Oryctolagus cuniculus: one gene and its partner. The protein of the gene in region 1 binds, or shares a complex with, the protein of each later gene. Links are inferred from orthologs where the notes say so. Each region holds a gene or a part of one and is shown on either strand. Other genes may lie near its edges.

Region 1 (7,604 bases):
GCGCGAGGACGAGGGCTGAAGAAACGGCGGGCGCAGGCCCCGCGAGCGTCACGCCCTGCCTGTGCGCCCAGCACTGGGGGGCGGCTGCCGGGGAGCCCAGGGCCCTGGGGCAGCCTCCAGGCCAGCTGGGGTGTCCACTGCGGGAAAAACACCTGTGTCCTTGGGGGGTCTCTGTGTGGGGAGAGCAGGCTGTGTGGGGGGGGGAGCAGGCTGTGTGTGGGGGGAAGCAGGTTGTGGGGGGGAGCAGGAGCAGGCTGTGTGTTGGGGGAAGGCCACCACCTGCCCCCTCCCAGACCCCAGACCCGGTGCCCGATGCCCCCCAGACCCGGTGCCCGATGCCCCCCAGGCCGCTGCCCGCCGCCCACCTAGACCCGGTGCCCGATGCTCCCCCCCCCGCCCACCTGCGCCCAGACCCCAGACCCGGCGCCCGATGTTGCCCAGGCTGCCGCCCGCCGCCTGCCCCCGCCCAGACCCCCGACCCGGTGCGGTGCCCAGTGCCCGGCGCCCGAGCCTGCCCGCGGGGCTGGCATGAGCGGCCGCCCCAGCGCCCTCACCGGCGGGGGAGATCTGCTGGAAGACGTTGTTCACGGGCAGCCCCTCCTTCCGCAGGGACCAGCACTCCACCAGGCTGCTGGTCTGGCTGGACGCGCACAGGAGCACCTGCGGGGGGGGGGGGCAGAGCGCGCTGGGGGCGGGGCCCTGGGCGAGCGCGCGTGGGCGGGGCCCTGGGCGAGCGCGCGCGCGGGGGGCGGGGCCCTGGGCGAGCGCTCGCGGGCGGGGGGGGGGCAGAGCGCGCTGGGGGCGGGGCCCTGGGCGAGCGCGCGGGGGGGGGCAGAGCGCGCTGGGGGCGGGGCCCTGGGCGAGCGCGCGGGCGGGGGGGGCGCAGAGCGCGCTGGGGGCGGGGCCCTGGGCGAGCTCGCGTGGGCGGGGGCGGGGCCCTGGGCGCGCGCGGGGGGGGGGGGCGCAGAGCAAGCTGGGGGCGGGGCCCTGGGCGAGCGCGTGGGCGGGGGCGGGGCCTCCCGACGCCCATCGCCGCGGGCGCCGGAGCCCGGGCGGCGCACCTGCTCGGACATGTCGCGGGCCAGGAACTTGAGGTGGGTGATGGCCGGGAAGCTGTCCTTGCGGCTGAGCGCCGTGGTGCAGCGCATGAAGAGCGAGGGCAGGATCTCCGTGTCGATGCGGCACTTCTCGCTGACCACGCCCACGCACACCTTGTAGAACTGCACGGGGGACGCGCTGCTGCCGTCGGCCGCCGCCACCACGATGTTGCCGCCGCCCGTGAAGGCGATGTCGGCCAGGGCCACGCGGCCGCGCAGGCGGCACAGGCTCTCGGTGGACGTGAGCACCTGCCCGCTGGGCTTGAGCAGGGACACGGTGACCAGGCCGCTGACCGTCACGGCGATCCAGCCCTCCATGGGCTTGCCGCCGAACAGCGTGAGCGACGGCGAGAACTTGACGCGGGAGAACTTCTCGCCGAAGCTGGAGGCGCCCGACTGCGGGAGAGGCGGAGGGGCCGGGCTGCCGTGCGCGCCGCACCGGGACCACCGGAGCCCCGCCCCCGCCCCACCGGAGCCCTGCCCGCGGACCACCGGAGCCCCGCCCCTGCCCGCACACCCGGACCACCGGAGCCCCGCCCCCGCCCCACCGGAGCCCCGCCCGCGGACCACCGGAGCCCTGCCCCTGCCCGAGCACCCGGACCACCGGAGCCCCGCCCCTGCCCGCGCACCCAGACCACCGGAGCCCCGCCCTCGCTGACCCCGCCTTGCCTGTGCGGGAGCCCGGGACACGCCTACCGCGGAAGCCCACGGACAGGGCTGAGGGGGGACACGCGTGTGCCGGACAGGGCTGAGGGGGGACACGCGTGCACCGGACAGGGCTGAGGGGGGACACGCGTGTGCCTCTCAGGCCCAGCCACATCGTGGGGGGCTGCTGCCGCTCCAGTGCCACATCAGGCCTTCAGATTAACATCACGCCCACGCCCGGAGAGACGCGGGAGCCCCGGCCCCTCCCCCAGACCCCCGGCTGCCCCGGCCCCTCCCCCAGGCCCCTCCCCCAGACCCCCGGCTGCACCCGACCCCAGTCGCTGAGCCGCCTGCAGCCTGTGCTGGACTCCACCCGTGGCCGTGGGCGCCGGCTCACACCACGTGGCCGTCCACCCGTGGCAGGCGCAGCACAGCCCCTGAGTGGCAGGGAATTCTGGGATACCAGTGGCTCAGCGTGAGGGCCGGGTCCTGGGGACGGCGGCCTGGGTGCTGGGGCGGGCGCGGGCAGCACCCACCTTCTCCACGTGCAGGGCCAGCTTCACGCCGTTGTGCAGCCAGGACAGGGCCACGATCGGGTCCCCCTCCACCGAGCTGCCCACCAGGCTCTCCCAGCTGTTGGCCAGGTGCTCAGCCATGCTCCAGCACTTGACCTGCCCGTCGGCGTCGGCCGACAGGAGCCGGGAGCCTGCGGGGACAACGTCGCGGGACGTGGGGGCCAGGGCAGAGGCCCGGGGACCCGGCCAGGCGGGACCGGCGCCCGCCGCAGCGCCGGCTCTGGGCTCTGGCGCGGGCAGCAGAGGCCCGGCGGGGGCTCTGGGACAGAGGCTGGGGAGGGCGCCACCCTGTGGGGGCCCCGGGGAAGCGCCTGGCTCCCGGCTCTGGACTGGACTGGTCTGGCCCTGGCCAGAGTGGATCAGGGACGGGAGACCACCCCCCCTCGCTCTCCACCCCCCCCCTCCCTGTCTCCCTCTCCCCCTCCCTCCCTCCCTCTCCCCCTCCCTCCGTAACTCCGCCCCTCGGGCAGCCAGGCCCCGCCCCCGCCCTCACCTGACTGGTCCCACTCCAGGCAGGTGATGGCCTCGGTGTGGCCGGAGCTGATGGAGTGCACGTCCCACGGGTGCTCCGTGTCCAGGATGTGGATGGTGCGGGTCAGGTCTGGGGGCACAAGGACACAGTCCCGAGGGGTCCCGTGACCCCCAGGCGGCTCCGTGGAGGACCCCCAGGGCGATGGTGAGGGACAGGCTGCCCCCTGGCGGGCAGAGCGGCCAGTGACCGGGCGATGGGAAGATGGAGTGAGAGGGGCCGACGCCCGGGCAGCAGCGCCCGCGGTCCCCGAGCACGCGTCACCCGGCAGCAGGGCAGACGGCACGGCCACTGACGCAGAGCAGGGGCCGGGACGGGGCCTGGGCCAGCAAGACCCCAGCCCCACGTGGAGCCGGACCCCAGCGTCGGGGAGGCCGGGGCTCTGGACGCCCCAAGTTCCAGAGGAGGTGAGGGGCGGAGCCGGGCGGGGACACGGGGGGCGGGGCCAGGTGGGGCAGGATGGGGGACACGGGGGGCGGGGCCAGGTGGGGCAGGATGGGGGACACGGGGGGCGGGGCCAGGTGGGGCAGGACGGGGACACGGGGGGCGGGGCCAGGTGGGGCAGGACGGGGACACGGGGGGCGGGGCCAGGTGGGGGCCGGGCGGGGACACGGGGGCGGGGACAGGTGGGGGCCGGGCGGGGACACGGGGGGCGGGGACAGGTGGGGGCCGGGCGGGGACACGGGGGGCGGGGCCAGGTGGGGTCATGGGGGGCGGGGCCAGGTGGGAGCAGGACGGGGACACGGGGGGCGGGGACAGGTGGGGGACATGCGGGGAGAGAGGGCAGTGGGGGGCGCACCCTGGTCCTCGTTCCGCACGTCTGTGGTGAAGGCGATGAGGTTGCGGCAGGACCAGGCGCAGGCCAGGGGCACCGAGGGGCAGTGCGTGGTCTTGGGCCATTTCTCCCACTCACAGACGTAGGCCAGGTCCATCCCGCCGCAGGCCCGGGGGGCTCGTCACTGACACGGCCCAGTGCTGGGGGGGGGCATAGGGGGGCTTAAACACACGAGGCCACGCCCGTCCTCCGCGACGCTGGCGTCCACACGGGGACTCCAGGAGGGGCCGGGCGGCTGGGGCGCGGGCCAGCACCCCCAGGTCTCCACAGGACCCCGCAGATGTGCTTGGTCCGGGGAGCGAGGATGGGGCGGCAGGGGGCGCCCAGGGCCGCGCGGTCCCCCAGGCTGGGCCCGGGCCTGCGGAGGGCCCAGAGTGACCACAGCGGCGAGCGCCGGCGCCCCTGGCGGCTCCAAAGAGAAGGGGCTCCATCGACGTGGGCCCACCCCTCCGCCCCAGGCACCCCGGGAGCCCACGCCCACCCTAGCCCACCCCACCCCGACCCCCCAGCTCCGCCCCAGGCACCCGCGAGCCCACCCCACCCCGACCCCCCAGCTCCGCCCCAGGCACCCGCGAGCCCACCCCACCCCGACCCCTCAGCTCCGCCCCGGCACCCCGCGAGCCCACGCCCCGGCACCCCGCGAGCCCACCCCACCCCGACCCCCCAGCTCCGCCCCAGGCACCCCGCGAGCCCACGCCCACCCCACCCCGACCCCCCAGCTCCGCCCCAGGCACCCCGCGAGCCCACGCCCACCCCAACCCCCCAGCTCCGCCCCAGGCACCCCGCGAGCCCACCCCACCCCGACCCCCCAGCTCCGCCCCAGGCACCCCGCGAGCCCACGCCCACCCCACCCCGACCCCCCAGCTCCGCCCCAGGCACCCCGCGAGCCCACGCCCACCCCGACCCCTCAGCTCCGCCCCGGGCACCCCGCGAGCCCACGCCCACCCCGACCCCTCAGCTCCGCCCCAGGCACCCCGCGAGCCCACGCCCACCCCGACCCCTCAGCTCCGCCCCGGCACCCCGCGAGCCCACGCCGCGACCGTCCCGACATCCAGCCCCAGGGTCTCAGGCCCAACCCCAGGGACCCCCCCCCCGTCTGCGGGCCCCGCCCCCGAGCCAGGCAGCCCCGCCCCCGAGCCAGGCAGCCCCGCCCCCAGCTCGCCTCAGGCTCCGCCCCCGGTCCCGCCGCCCCGCTTCGGCCGCGGACTTCGCCTCAATTTCCGCGCAGCGCCCGGGCTCCCCCACGTCGCGCCGGGCCGCGCGCCCAGAAGCCTTTGCGCTCGGGCCCGCCCCCTGACCCCGGAGGCCCCGCCCCTGCCTTCCCCGCGCCGCTGTCCCCGGGGTCGCGGACGTCGTCCCGAGGCCGGCTGGCCGCCGCCGCCGCCGCCGGGCCCTCCCACGAGCCCCGCGCTCACCTGGCTGGCCCGAGCGTGGAGCCGAGGGCACGGCTGCGGCCCGCACTCGCCCTAACGCCGCGGCTCCGGCGCCGCCATCTTCCCGGACCAACGAGTCGCCCAAGCCGCGCCGCCGCTTCCCGCAGGCTCATGGGACGGCGGCGGCTCCGGCTCCGCCCAGCTTCCGGGCTTATTTGCATAGTCCTATTAGGTTCCCGGCAGCCTCCGTTCGTGTGTCTCATATAAAACAGAAATATTTCCCTAACGTCGATTAAAAACTACACCTCATTAGAACATATACTGTCCTAACACAGTAAAGAGCACGAGTGCCCCACAAAGTTGTCGCAAGAAAATTCACCCTTATCGTAAAGACAAGATTTCTCGGCACCTTAAATACTTGTCCAGGATAGCGGTCGTTCGTGCTCGCTTCGGCAGCACATATACTAAAATTGGAACGATACAGAGAAGATTAGCATGGCCCCTGCGCAAGGATGACACGCAAATTCGTGAAGCGTTCCATATTTTGCTACCCCTTTCCACGAACAGCGTGCAGGAGGAGCCGGCCCGGTCCGCGTGGAGCCGCAGCCGTCGCGCGTGAATGCCCACGCAGGGTGTGCGTGACTGGGCGGTGAGCGCGGGGTCCCGGGGGTCTACGCCGTCCGCTCTGCAGCCCACGCCCTGCTCCTGCCCTCTGGCACACACCGGAGCAGGTGAGAAGGCGGCCCGCGACCAAAGGGCACTGAACCCACAGCATAGCAGACGCACCCCGGGACACGGAGCTCCCGCGGTGCAGCGCCACGGCTCACAGGTGGGCCCGGCGGGGCCACGGTCGCCGCAGCTCTGCCCGCAGCAGCGCTGTGACTTTGTTTCCCTTACCTATTTGATAGGCAGGGGCCGTGGGGAGGGGGAGAGGGGGAGAGGGGGACAGATCTCCCATCGGCTGGTTCACTCCGGGGCTGGGCCAAGCAGGAGCCCCGGGTTCCCCACGTGGGTGCAGGGCCCCCAGCACTCGAGCGGGCACTGCCGCCTCCCAGGTGTGCATAGCAGGGAGCGAGGTCAGGAGCTTTACCCTGGGGCTCAGCTGCTGGGCTACGCCTGGGTCCAGCAGGCCCTCTGCCGTGGCTGAGAACTGGGCAGGGGGCTTCACGGACGGTCCCTGGAGGTCTGAGTGGCCACCCCGGGCACCCCGGCTGCTCCCCTTCCAGCCCAGCTCCCTGCTAACGGCCCGGGAAGGCGGCAGTGACGGAGAGGTGCCAGGGCCCCTGCACGCACGGGGGAGACCTGGGTGGCGCTCCCGGCTCCTGGCTTCAGCCTGGGCCAGCCCTGGCCGTCACTGTTCTTAGATGAAGATCCCCCCGCCCCGCCCCGTGTAACTGTGCCTTTCATGTAAAATGATAATAAATATACAACTTTCAGACGAGGAAGGAGCCAAAGCCAGCCCTGCAGTGAGGCCGCCGGGGGTGTCTGTGGCCACCTGCAGTCACTCCAGCCGCTGATGCCCCGTCCACGGGAACCCGGGCAGCTGAGAGGGGCTGGGCCGGGGGGGGGGGGTCCCAGCCCCCCCCCAAAGAAGCATCTGCACAGCCCAAGGCCAGAGCACCAGAAATTTATTAAACCCTTCCCATTCCCCAAAGCACAAGCCACACGCGGGGGACAGGGGTGCAGGCCAGCTCCACGCAGGGGGCGGGGCCAGGCAGGGGGCGGGGGACACCGAGGGCAGCGGCTTCTGGCCGGAAGTCCTGGACCTCAGTGAGGGGGCAGCGGGGTGGAGAGCAGGGGGGCCCGCGGTGGGGACACACACACACACACACACACACACACACACGGAGGACAAAATGCATAAAACCGGCCCGCAGGACAAAGCCTCTGTCCTGGGTCACGGGGCACACGCATGGACACGCGTGTGCGCACACACGCACGACAAACTGCTCATGGGGCAAGGGGCCAGGTCCTGGGGATGCGCCCCACCCCCAGCCAAGTGAGAGGCAGGGACGGCCAAGCCAGGGCTGGGGCAGGGGTGCGGCTTTCCCCACCCACAGGGAAATTTAAAACCCTACAGCACATCACGACAAATGCATTAAAGGGATAAAACTCAGCCTCCCTCCCCTGGTAGGGCTTCCGACAGGGCCAGAGAAAACTGAAAGAAGTGGAGGTGCCCAGGCCCGGCCTCCTCGCCCAAATACAAGTCCCAGGGCAGGAGCGGCGGGGCGGGGCGGGGCAGGGCAGGAGGGGCAGGCGTCCAGGACAGAATCTAAAAACAGGGCGAGGCGGTCTCGGAGGGCCGCCATCAGCTGTGCTGCTCCAGGTAGGCAGACAGGAGCAGCCCCGGGGGCAGGAAGTCCAGGTGCCGGTTGCTCACTCTCATCTGCCGCCTGCCCTCCAGGTCGGCACCTGTGGAGGAGCAGAGGGGCTCGCGGGTGGCCGCTGCACGGGCCGCTGCAGCCCGGAGCCTGGCCACGAGTGTCCGGCCGCCTTCGCCTATGAACCAGGAGGGACCCCCGCCGCAGCAGCCCAGCCCCCCCACCCGCC
Region 2 (7,641 bases), on another chromosome or scaffold:
TAAGCTTTTTTCACTTACTCTGATTGTGCTTGTTTCTGTCAGCCCGTTGGCAGATACTTGGTATCTGTTCTTGGTAAATGCTCTATGTGCAGGAACAATGATGTGTTGAAAGGGGGAAAGAGATGTCAGGTCTGGGCCTTACTTCCTAATTTTTACTTTATTTGAAAGCCAGGGAGAGACGCAGAGAGACATTCCATCTGCTGGTTCACTCCCCAAATGCCCCCAACAGCCAGGGCTGGGCCAGGCCAAAGCCAGGAGTTGGGAACTTGATCCAGGTCTCCTTTGTGGCTGGCAGGAATCGAGTCCTTGCCGTCATCTGCTGCCTGGCAGCCTGCATCCTAGCTGGAGGTTGGAGCAGAAGCAAAGGAGCCGGCACGGAACCCAGCCACTCTAGTATGGGATACGGGCATCCCAAGCAGTGTCGTGACGACTGCTGCAAATGCCCACCCTTGGTCCTTGGTTTATAAGAAGACTATTTTAGTTAGTTAGGGAAGCACAGTATGTGGTTTGTGGATAAACAAGTGACTGTTTCTCATCGATACCAGTCTCATTACTTTGCAGTCATGCCTTAAATACTGCACAGCTAACAGTATCTTAGTGAACAGCATTAACTCCTTGATGGTTTTCAAAATGTGGTGTATCCATGATGACAGCAAGAAATTAGATGTCACTTGAGCTGGACTGTGAAGAATTCACATTGGTTGGGGAAAAAAAAAAAAAAACAACAGATTTTTCCTAAAAGGAAACAATATAAGAGGGAATGCCTATTTTTTTTTCTCATAAGTGTGGAGACTCATTTGAATGGATCAGAAATTTTACCAAAAAGAAAGAAATTTTACCTTTGGGGAAGTAGTGGCTGATGAAGCCCAGAGCTAAGTTGGATGCAGTCAGATGTGAATAACCCTGGATGCCTGAGGAACGGGTGCTTTCTCCCGAGAGTAACAGGAAACCTGAAGGTTTTTGAACTCAGAAGTCCTGCTTTCTAAAACATCTCAAGAATGGCGGTGCCATGATTGAAATGAAGAAGCCATAAGTGACATGGGCAAGAATTTGAATTAAAAAAAATTGAATCTGCATGAAATTTACTGCAAAGAAGGTTCATTCAGGAGAGGAGTCAGAGCTGGGGAGAAAGATTTATAAATTAACTACAAAGCAATAGTCAAAAACAGGAAGTTAGAGTTTAGAAAAAGCACAGTACCTTCTCCCTGACCTTCAGCAAAACCACCTGGGAGGAAGATAACTGGCAGAGAGGAGGGAACATCAGAAAGCAGTAGCAAGCAGCAGTGCCAGTTACAGAGCTGCTGCTGTTACAGACTACTCTTCTGACACATCTGGCAGTGCCGGGAAAGAAACGGATGCAGTAAGGCCTAGGGGCAGTCAGGAAAAGCACCTTAATACTGAGCACTAGCAACACGTGAACAGAGCGTTGTCTGCCTTCAAGAAGCCCACAGTTCAGAGCCCGAGTTTTCCCAGTTATCATTTTGCTCATGGTACCCTGGGTGTCCATCATAATTACAGATGAAGTTGTGGGTTAGATATTTTCACCCTTACCATAAATTTAGATTATTTATACTTTTCAGTATGTTTTCATTTAAATCTTGAAAAAAAAATGAAGTTTACTTAAGATAGCTATTATTGCATTCCACAGATAACAAGAAACTAAGGCATGGAGAACAGCACTAGAATTCTAGTTGTCCAGCCAATTTCTAACTACAGATTTCTTCTTTGTCTGCAAAGCATTATACTCAGTAACATTAGGGAGAATAAAGATGTTGGTAACCAAAGTTAAGCAACAGTAGCTAGAAAAATCTCCTTGCTGTTTTTCTATATAACTATGATGAGTGTTTTTTGATTGTTAAAGAGAAAAAACAGGGGCTGACACTGTGGCATAGTGGGTAAAGCTACCACCTGCAGTGCTGGCATCCCATAAGGGTGCCCGTTCAAGTCTTGGCTGTTCCACTTCTGATCCAGCTCTCTGCCATGGCCTGGGAAAGCAGTGGGAAATGGCCCAGCTCCTTGGGCCCCTGCCCCATGTGGGAGAACCAGTGGAAGCTCCTGGCTTTGGATCAGCTCAACTCCTGCCATTGCGGCCATTTAGGGAGTGAATCAGCTGAAGGAAGACCTCTCTCTGCAATTCCATCTTTTCAAATAAGATTTTAAAGAGTTACACAAAGAGCGAAGGAGAGGCAGAGAGAGAGAGAGAGGTCTTCCATCATCTACTGGCTCACTCCCCAAGTGCCTGCAACAGTCAGAGCTCCGCTGATCAGGAGCCAGGAGCTTCCAGGTCTACCACACAAGTGCAGGGGCCCAAGGATTTGAGCCATCTTCCACTGCTTTCCCAGGCCCTAGAAAAGCACTGGATTGGAAGTGGAGCAGCTGGGACTCGAACCAGTGCCGATATGGGATGATGGCACTGCAGGCGGTGACCCCAAAATAAATCTTTAAAAAAAAAAAAAAAAAAGGCCAGCGCCACTGCTCACTTGGCTAATCCTCCGCCTGCGGCGCCGGCGCACAGGGTTCTAGTCCCAGTTGGGGCACCGGATTCTAGTCCTGGTTGCTCCTCTTCCAGTCCAGCTCTCTGCTGTGGCCTGGGAGGGCAGTGGAGGATGGCCCAAGTGCTTGGGCCCTGCACCCACATGGGAGACCCAGAGGAAGCACCTGGCTCTGGGCTTCAAATCAGCGCAGCATGCTGGCCGTAGCAGCCATTTGGGGGGGTGAACCAATGGGAAAGGAAGACCTTTGTCTCTCTCTCTCTCTCTCTCACTAACTGCCTGTCCAAAAAAAAAAAAAAAAGAAAAGCAAAGTTCTTGACAAAGACCCTCAATCCCCTGAGTCAGAGAGTCAGATGGCCCTTGCTGTGGTCCCAGCTGACCTGTGAGGGCCTCTCCTGGTCACAACATCAGAGAGTATTTCTCACTTACACTTTATGAAAAGCAGAGAACAGTGTTGAGCATGCAGGCCATGTAAATTATCATTCTGGCTCATCCAAGAAGAGCAGAATGCCTCCATGTCTGCCCTGTTTAGGTTTCTGCCCTTTCTCCTTCCCGTGCCTGTTGTTCTGTAGTACTGCACTTCTAGTGTTTATATGTTACTGTTTACTTTTGCTGTTTCTTAAACATAAGCTTTTTCTGTCAAAGTCAAAACTGGGAAAAGTGGTAAAAATCATGAGAATGGTTGTTCTTGAGGGAAGTGCAGTCTGGAAATGAAATCAGCAGTTCTTCTGGTTGAGAAAAAAATATAAGCTCAACATTTCATGATTCTCACTTAAAAGCATCCTTATTTGGGTCACAGTTCGTATAGTCCTTTACTTTTCTTCTGGGTCAGTGACTGTAAACTCCTCTTTTAGGACTAATGTTTCTCTGTGTTCTCTAGGCAGCACGGAGCTGACAGGCAGCACCAATCTCATCACACACTACAACCTGGAACAAGCCTATAACAAATTCTGTGGCAAGAAGGTGAAGGAGAAGCTAAGCAACTTCCTGCCCGACCTGCCGGGGATGATCGATCTTCCCGGCTCTCACGACAACAGCAGCCTCCGCTCCCTTATCGAGAAGCCCCCTATTCTTGGTGGCTCTTTCAATCCCATCACAGGGACCATGCTGGCTGGCTTCCGCCTCCACACCGGCCCGGTGAGTGCCCTCTTGAGAGAGGCAGCAAATGGGGAAGCCGAGGGCAGGGAGTTTTCTCTCTCCACATCTGCTCCCTTGTACCTTACTGAGCAAAGGATTTCCTTCTCCACTCACCCAGACCTTCCTTTGCTTCCTTCAGTTGCCAGAACAGTGTCGCCTGATGCATATTCAGCCTCCCAAGAAGAACAAGAAGCACAAGCACAAACAGAGTCGGACCCAGGATCCTGTCCCCCCAGGTAAGCAGCAGCCCTGTTAAAACAAGAAAACCTGACCTTCTGAATTTGGTGCAACTTTGCACAGTTGAACCCAGTGAATTCCTCACACAGCCCTGGATGCCCAAGTTTCCACAATGTACTTTGATCTCTTTGGCAAGTAGGGACTTAGGACAGGGGTTCTGGCAGCAGAGCCATTTAGAGAAACACAGTTGGGCACCTGCCTGTGATGCCAGCACCCCATATGGGCACTGGGCTGAGACCTGGCTCCTCCACTACCTATCCAGCTCCCTGCTAGTGCATCTGGGAAGGCCGTGGAAGATGGCCAAGTCCTTGGGCCTCTGCACTCGTGTGGGAGACCCGGAAGACACTCTGGGCTGGCTTTGCCCTGGCCCAGTCCTGGCCATTGTGGCTGTTTGGGGAGTGAACTAGCAGATGGAAGAGCTGTTTCTCTCTAACTTTGCCTTTCAATAAACTTTTAAAAATCTAAAAAGAAAAAAAAAATTTGCCCAATTTGGTGTCCTGTAGTCTTCCAAATTCACAAAGTAGAGAATTTTGAGCATTATAGGTAACAGGCCCTAATGCTTCCTACAGAAACACCATCTGATTCGGATCATAAGAAGAAGAAAAAGAAAAAAGAAGAGGATCCTGACCGGAAAAGGAAGAAGAAAGAGAAGAAGAAAAAGAAGGTAGGGGTAGAGCCTGTTGCTGCAGCCCTTTTCCCCATATCTCACCCTGTCCTTTGCCTCAAACTGGACCCAAGAGTGAAAACTCAGGGCAAGTTGCTAGTTGTTCTTACCCTCCTCCTTTATCTTCTCCAGAGCCGACACAGTCCAGACCACCCGGGTATGGGCAGCTCTCAGGCCAGCAGCAGCAGCAGCCTTCGCTGACAACCACTGGACTCTACCAGGATGGCTTTTCCTACTGAACTTCTAACAGAAGCTGCCTTCCCGGCTCTTGGCCAATGCCTTGGGAATACCCAGCAGCCAAGGCAGAGGCCAACTCCTGCTCTGCTTGGTTGCGATGAATACATTAGAAGAGGGAAGGGCCATCCTTTTATAAGGCTCAGCCTAGTTGGCTTTCTCATGGACATCTCTTCCTCTCCCAGGAAGCTATTTCTTCTGTTTTGTGCAATTTGTTTAATATCAGAACTTGACCTGTTAAGTTTTTCTTTAAAAAAAAAAATACCTGCATTTATCAAACTGGCTCAAGTGTGGCTGTCTGTTAAGGGAGGTAAGTGCCTTTCTATGGAAGTCAGTGGTTAAGACAAGTCATTCCTAAGCTTTAAGGGGATTTGAGTCGTCCTTGCATTATCTCATTGGCAGGCAGGGAAACAACCAAAATGACTGAGAAACATGGTCCAAAAGAGGCACAGCTTCATTATACTCTCCCCATAATGTCAGGAACAAAGTGCCTGGATGGTCTTCAGGCTCCACTCTGAAGAGCTGATCCATTTAAACCTCAACAGATTCTAGGTCAAGTTTGGGTTGAAACAGAATAGTCAACTGAAAAAGCACCTACAATCACCATCTTCTTTAGTATACTTCAACCAGATTGACTCTTTGGTCAGAAAACTATAATGTTTTGAAATGAACCTCTGGCAAGCAAAGGTAAATGTTTCTTTTATCTTTATAAAATCCTTTGGCCTGCCTCATTCCTTAGATAACACAGTTTGGCTGATAAGCTCCCAAGACAGCAAAAAGGGCAGCCTAGACTATCAAAGTGTAAAAGAAAGCAGTTTACTTTTCTGCAGTATGGTTGGTAACTGAAACCCAAACTACTATAATCTAGCTTTAAACTAAATTTAACACAGAATAGTTAAAATCTATTGCCATGAACCAAGGTTGTTCTAGGTCAGTAGATGGAAAACCACTCACTCAGCTTGTTTTACTCCGGGATTTCAGAGTAAGAGTTTGTATGCTTAAGCTGCAGATGGTAAAGATAACGGGTTCTAGCCAGTCTGCTGAGAATTAGTGTCTGAGGATGCCTATCTAAAATGAAAGCAGAGGAGCTGGCGCTGTGGCGTAGTGGGTGAAGCCACTGCCTGCAGTATTGGCATCCCATACGGGCACCGGTTCATGTCCCGGCAGCTCCACTTCTGATCCAGCTCTCTGCTATGGCCTGGGAAAGCAGTGGAAGATGGCCCAAGTCCCTGGGCCCCTGCACCCATGTGGGAGACCCAGAAGAAACTGCTGGCCCCTGGCTTCGGATCAGCATAGCTCCAGCCATTACGGCCATCTGGGTAATGAACCAGCGGTGGAAGACCTCTCTGCCTGTTAATTCTGCCTTTCAAATAAATAAATCTTTAAAAAAATAAAATGAGCACAGAGCCTTTCCCCTTTGACAGGGTATAAGATGACCTAATTCAATTTCCAGTCAACCTGCTTTTACCAGGCTTCCGTATCTTGATTTTTCTTTGCAGACAAAATCCTTATGTTAAGGAGCAACATGAAGCCGTGTGAATTTTTAAATCACCCAAATTAAAACAGGACTTGTCGCTTTAAGTAATTTCACTATGTCCTGCCTAAGATAGGCCAGGATCAGAGAAGTCTGTGAGGTGTTCTTTGTGATGACTTCCCACCTTGCGTCACCAGACACAATAACACAAGTCGGGGGAGCCGTTAGATCAGGATTTCTTTTTATTCTTTGTCGGTTTAAAATGGCTAATCAGAATAAAAAATAAAAGGGCCTCTGTGCAGAGGCTGGGGTCTTCCCTATTTAGAGATTAGAACCCAGGTATCCCCTCTTCCCAGCACCATACTAAGTTGGGCTGAGGGGTAACCCCCAAGGGACAACCGGAGGGACCTAGGCCTGCCACTCCTCTCTATCCCATTTTTGGCATGTGATGAAAAATATTGCTTTTTGGATTCTTCTCTCCTGTCCTTGGACTTTAAAATCACCTTAACTGTAGGCTAGGGGAAGCTCTGAGGGGCTCATTTATGAAAGCCACCCTAATCCCTCTCTCCCAAGAAGTGGGGGGGGATTTTCTAATAGTGTTTCAAATGAGGCCAGATGCTTTCCCTGATCCCCCCCCTACCACCACCACCAATGTCATGGAGCTGTGACCCCTTTCTGGGGAAACTAAATGCCAATAAGCCTAGAAAACTAACTTTGCAAATGTCCTTTCCTCTTCTAACCAAGAACTCAGACTCGCCTCTCCCCAGGTTTCTTTCCTGATCACATAGCACCAACATTGGGGCACTACTACTTCCTTAGTTGGTAACAGATAAGAGAGGGAGTCATGGGGGAAAAGGAAGACTCTGGTGTCTCCCCTCTTTTCCTGCTGGTCTGAGGAACAGGAACAGTAAGATCCTCCTTCTTATACATATCCCTCCCTCATTTTCCCATCCCAGGATAGATATATAATTTCTTTGATATTTATAATATATATATATATATATGTACACACACACCTGGTAACGCAGAAGAGGAAAAAAATAGAATCCGTAACAATAATAAAAAAAATTATTTCTGGTTTAAAAATGATCTGGTTCCCTCCAGGGCGAGCAATTGCACAAATGTCCACTGAGTCTGGTCCAGGGATTGGGGAAAGGAAGGTCTTAAAAGGTAAAAGGGGGGGTTGCTACCCCAGTCTCAGGGCCCCAACTCTCCGACTCCCAAACCCTTTTGCATTTTATAAAACGCTCCTCATCCTCTTGGAATCAGTGTTTTAAAAAATGTCCGTGCAGGGGAGGGGAGCCCCTTGAGGGAAGGAAGGTGGCCACCTGGGGCCCTTTGGTGTAGGCGCAGAGGTGTGGGAAGGGGAGGCGCTGAAGGCTCACACCGAAATCTCATAGGTG

The links.
Region 2: MED16 (region 1) and MED19 share a complex: the UniProt entries of both Homo sapiens proteins name them as parts of the mediator complex. The link is inferred for Oryctolagus cuniculus from reciprocal best matches to the Homo sapiens genes MED16 and MED19.

What each region holds. Positions count from the first base shown.
Region 1 is NC_091447.1:58,473,805-58,481,408, forward strand, and holds the start of MED16 (mediator of RNA polymerase II transcription subunit 16), read right to left. Parts: upstream 5,254-7,604; 5' UTR 5,097-5,253; intron 3,822-5,096; 5' UTR 3,779-3,821; coding exon 3,646-3,778; intron 2,919-3,645; coding exon 2,811-2,918; intron 2,449-2,810; coding exon 2,279-2,448; intron 1,494-2,278; coding exon 1,062-1,493; intron 661-1,061; coding exon 555-660; intron 1-554. Other genes in the region: R3HDM4 (R3H domain-containing protein 4), read right to left, coding at 7,363-7,466. UniProt on the Homo sapiens protein: Component of the Mediator complex, a coactivator involved in the regulated transcription of nearly all RNA polymerase II-dependent genes.
Region 2 is NC_091432.1:14,444,057-14,451,697, forward strand, and holds the end of MED19 (mediator of RNA polymerase II transcription subunit 19), read left to right. Parts: intron 1-3,372; coding exon 3,373-3,629; intron 3,630-3,768; coding exon 3,769-3,865; intron 3,866-4,435; coding exon 4,436-4,530; intron 4,531-4,662; coding exon 4,663-4,731; 3' UTR 4,732-5,043; downstream 5,044-7,641. Other genes in the region: palmitoyltransferase ZDHHC5, read right to left, coding at 7,620-7,641. UniProt on the Homo sapiens protein: Component of the Mediator complex, a coactivator involved in the regulated transcription of nearly all RNA polymerase II-dependent genes.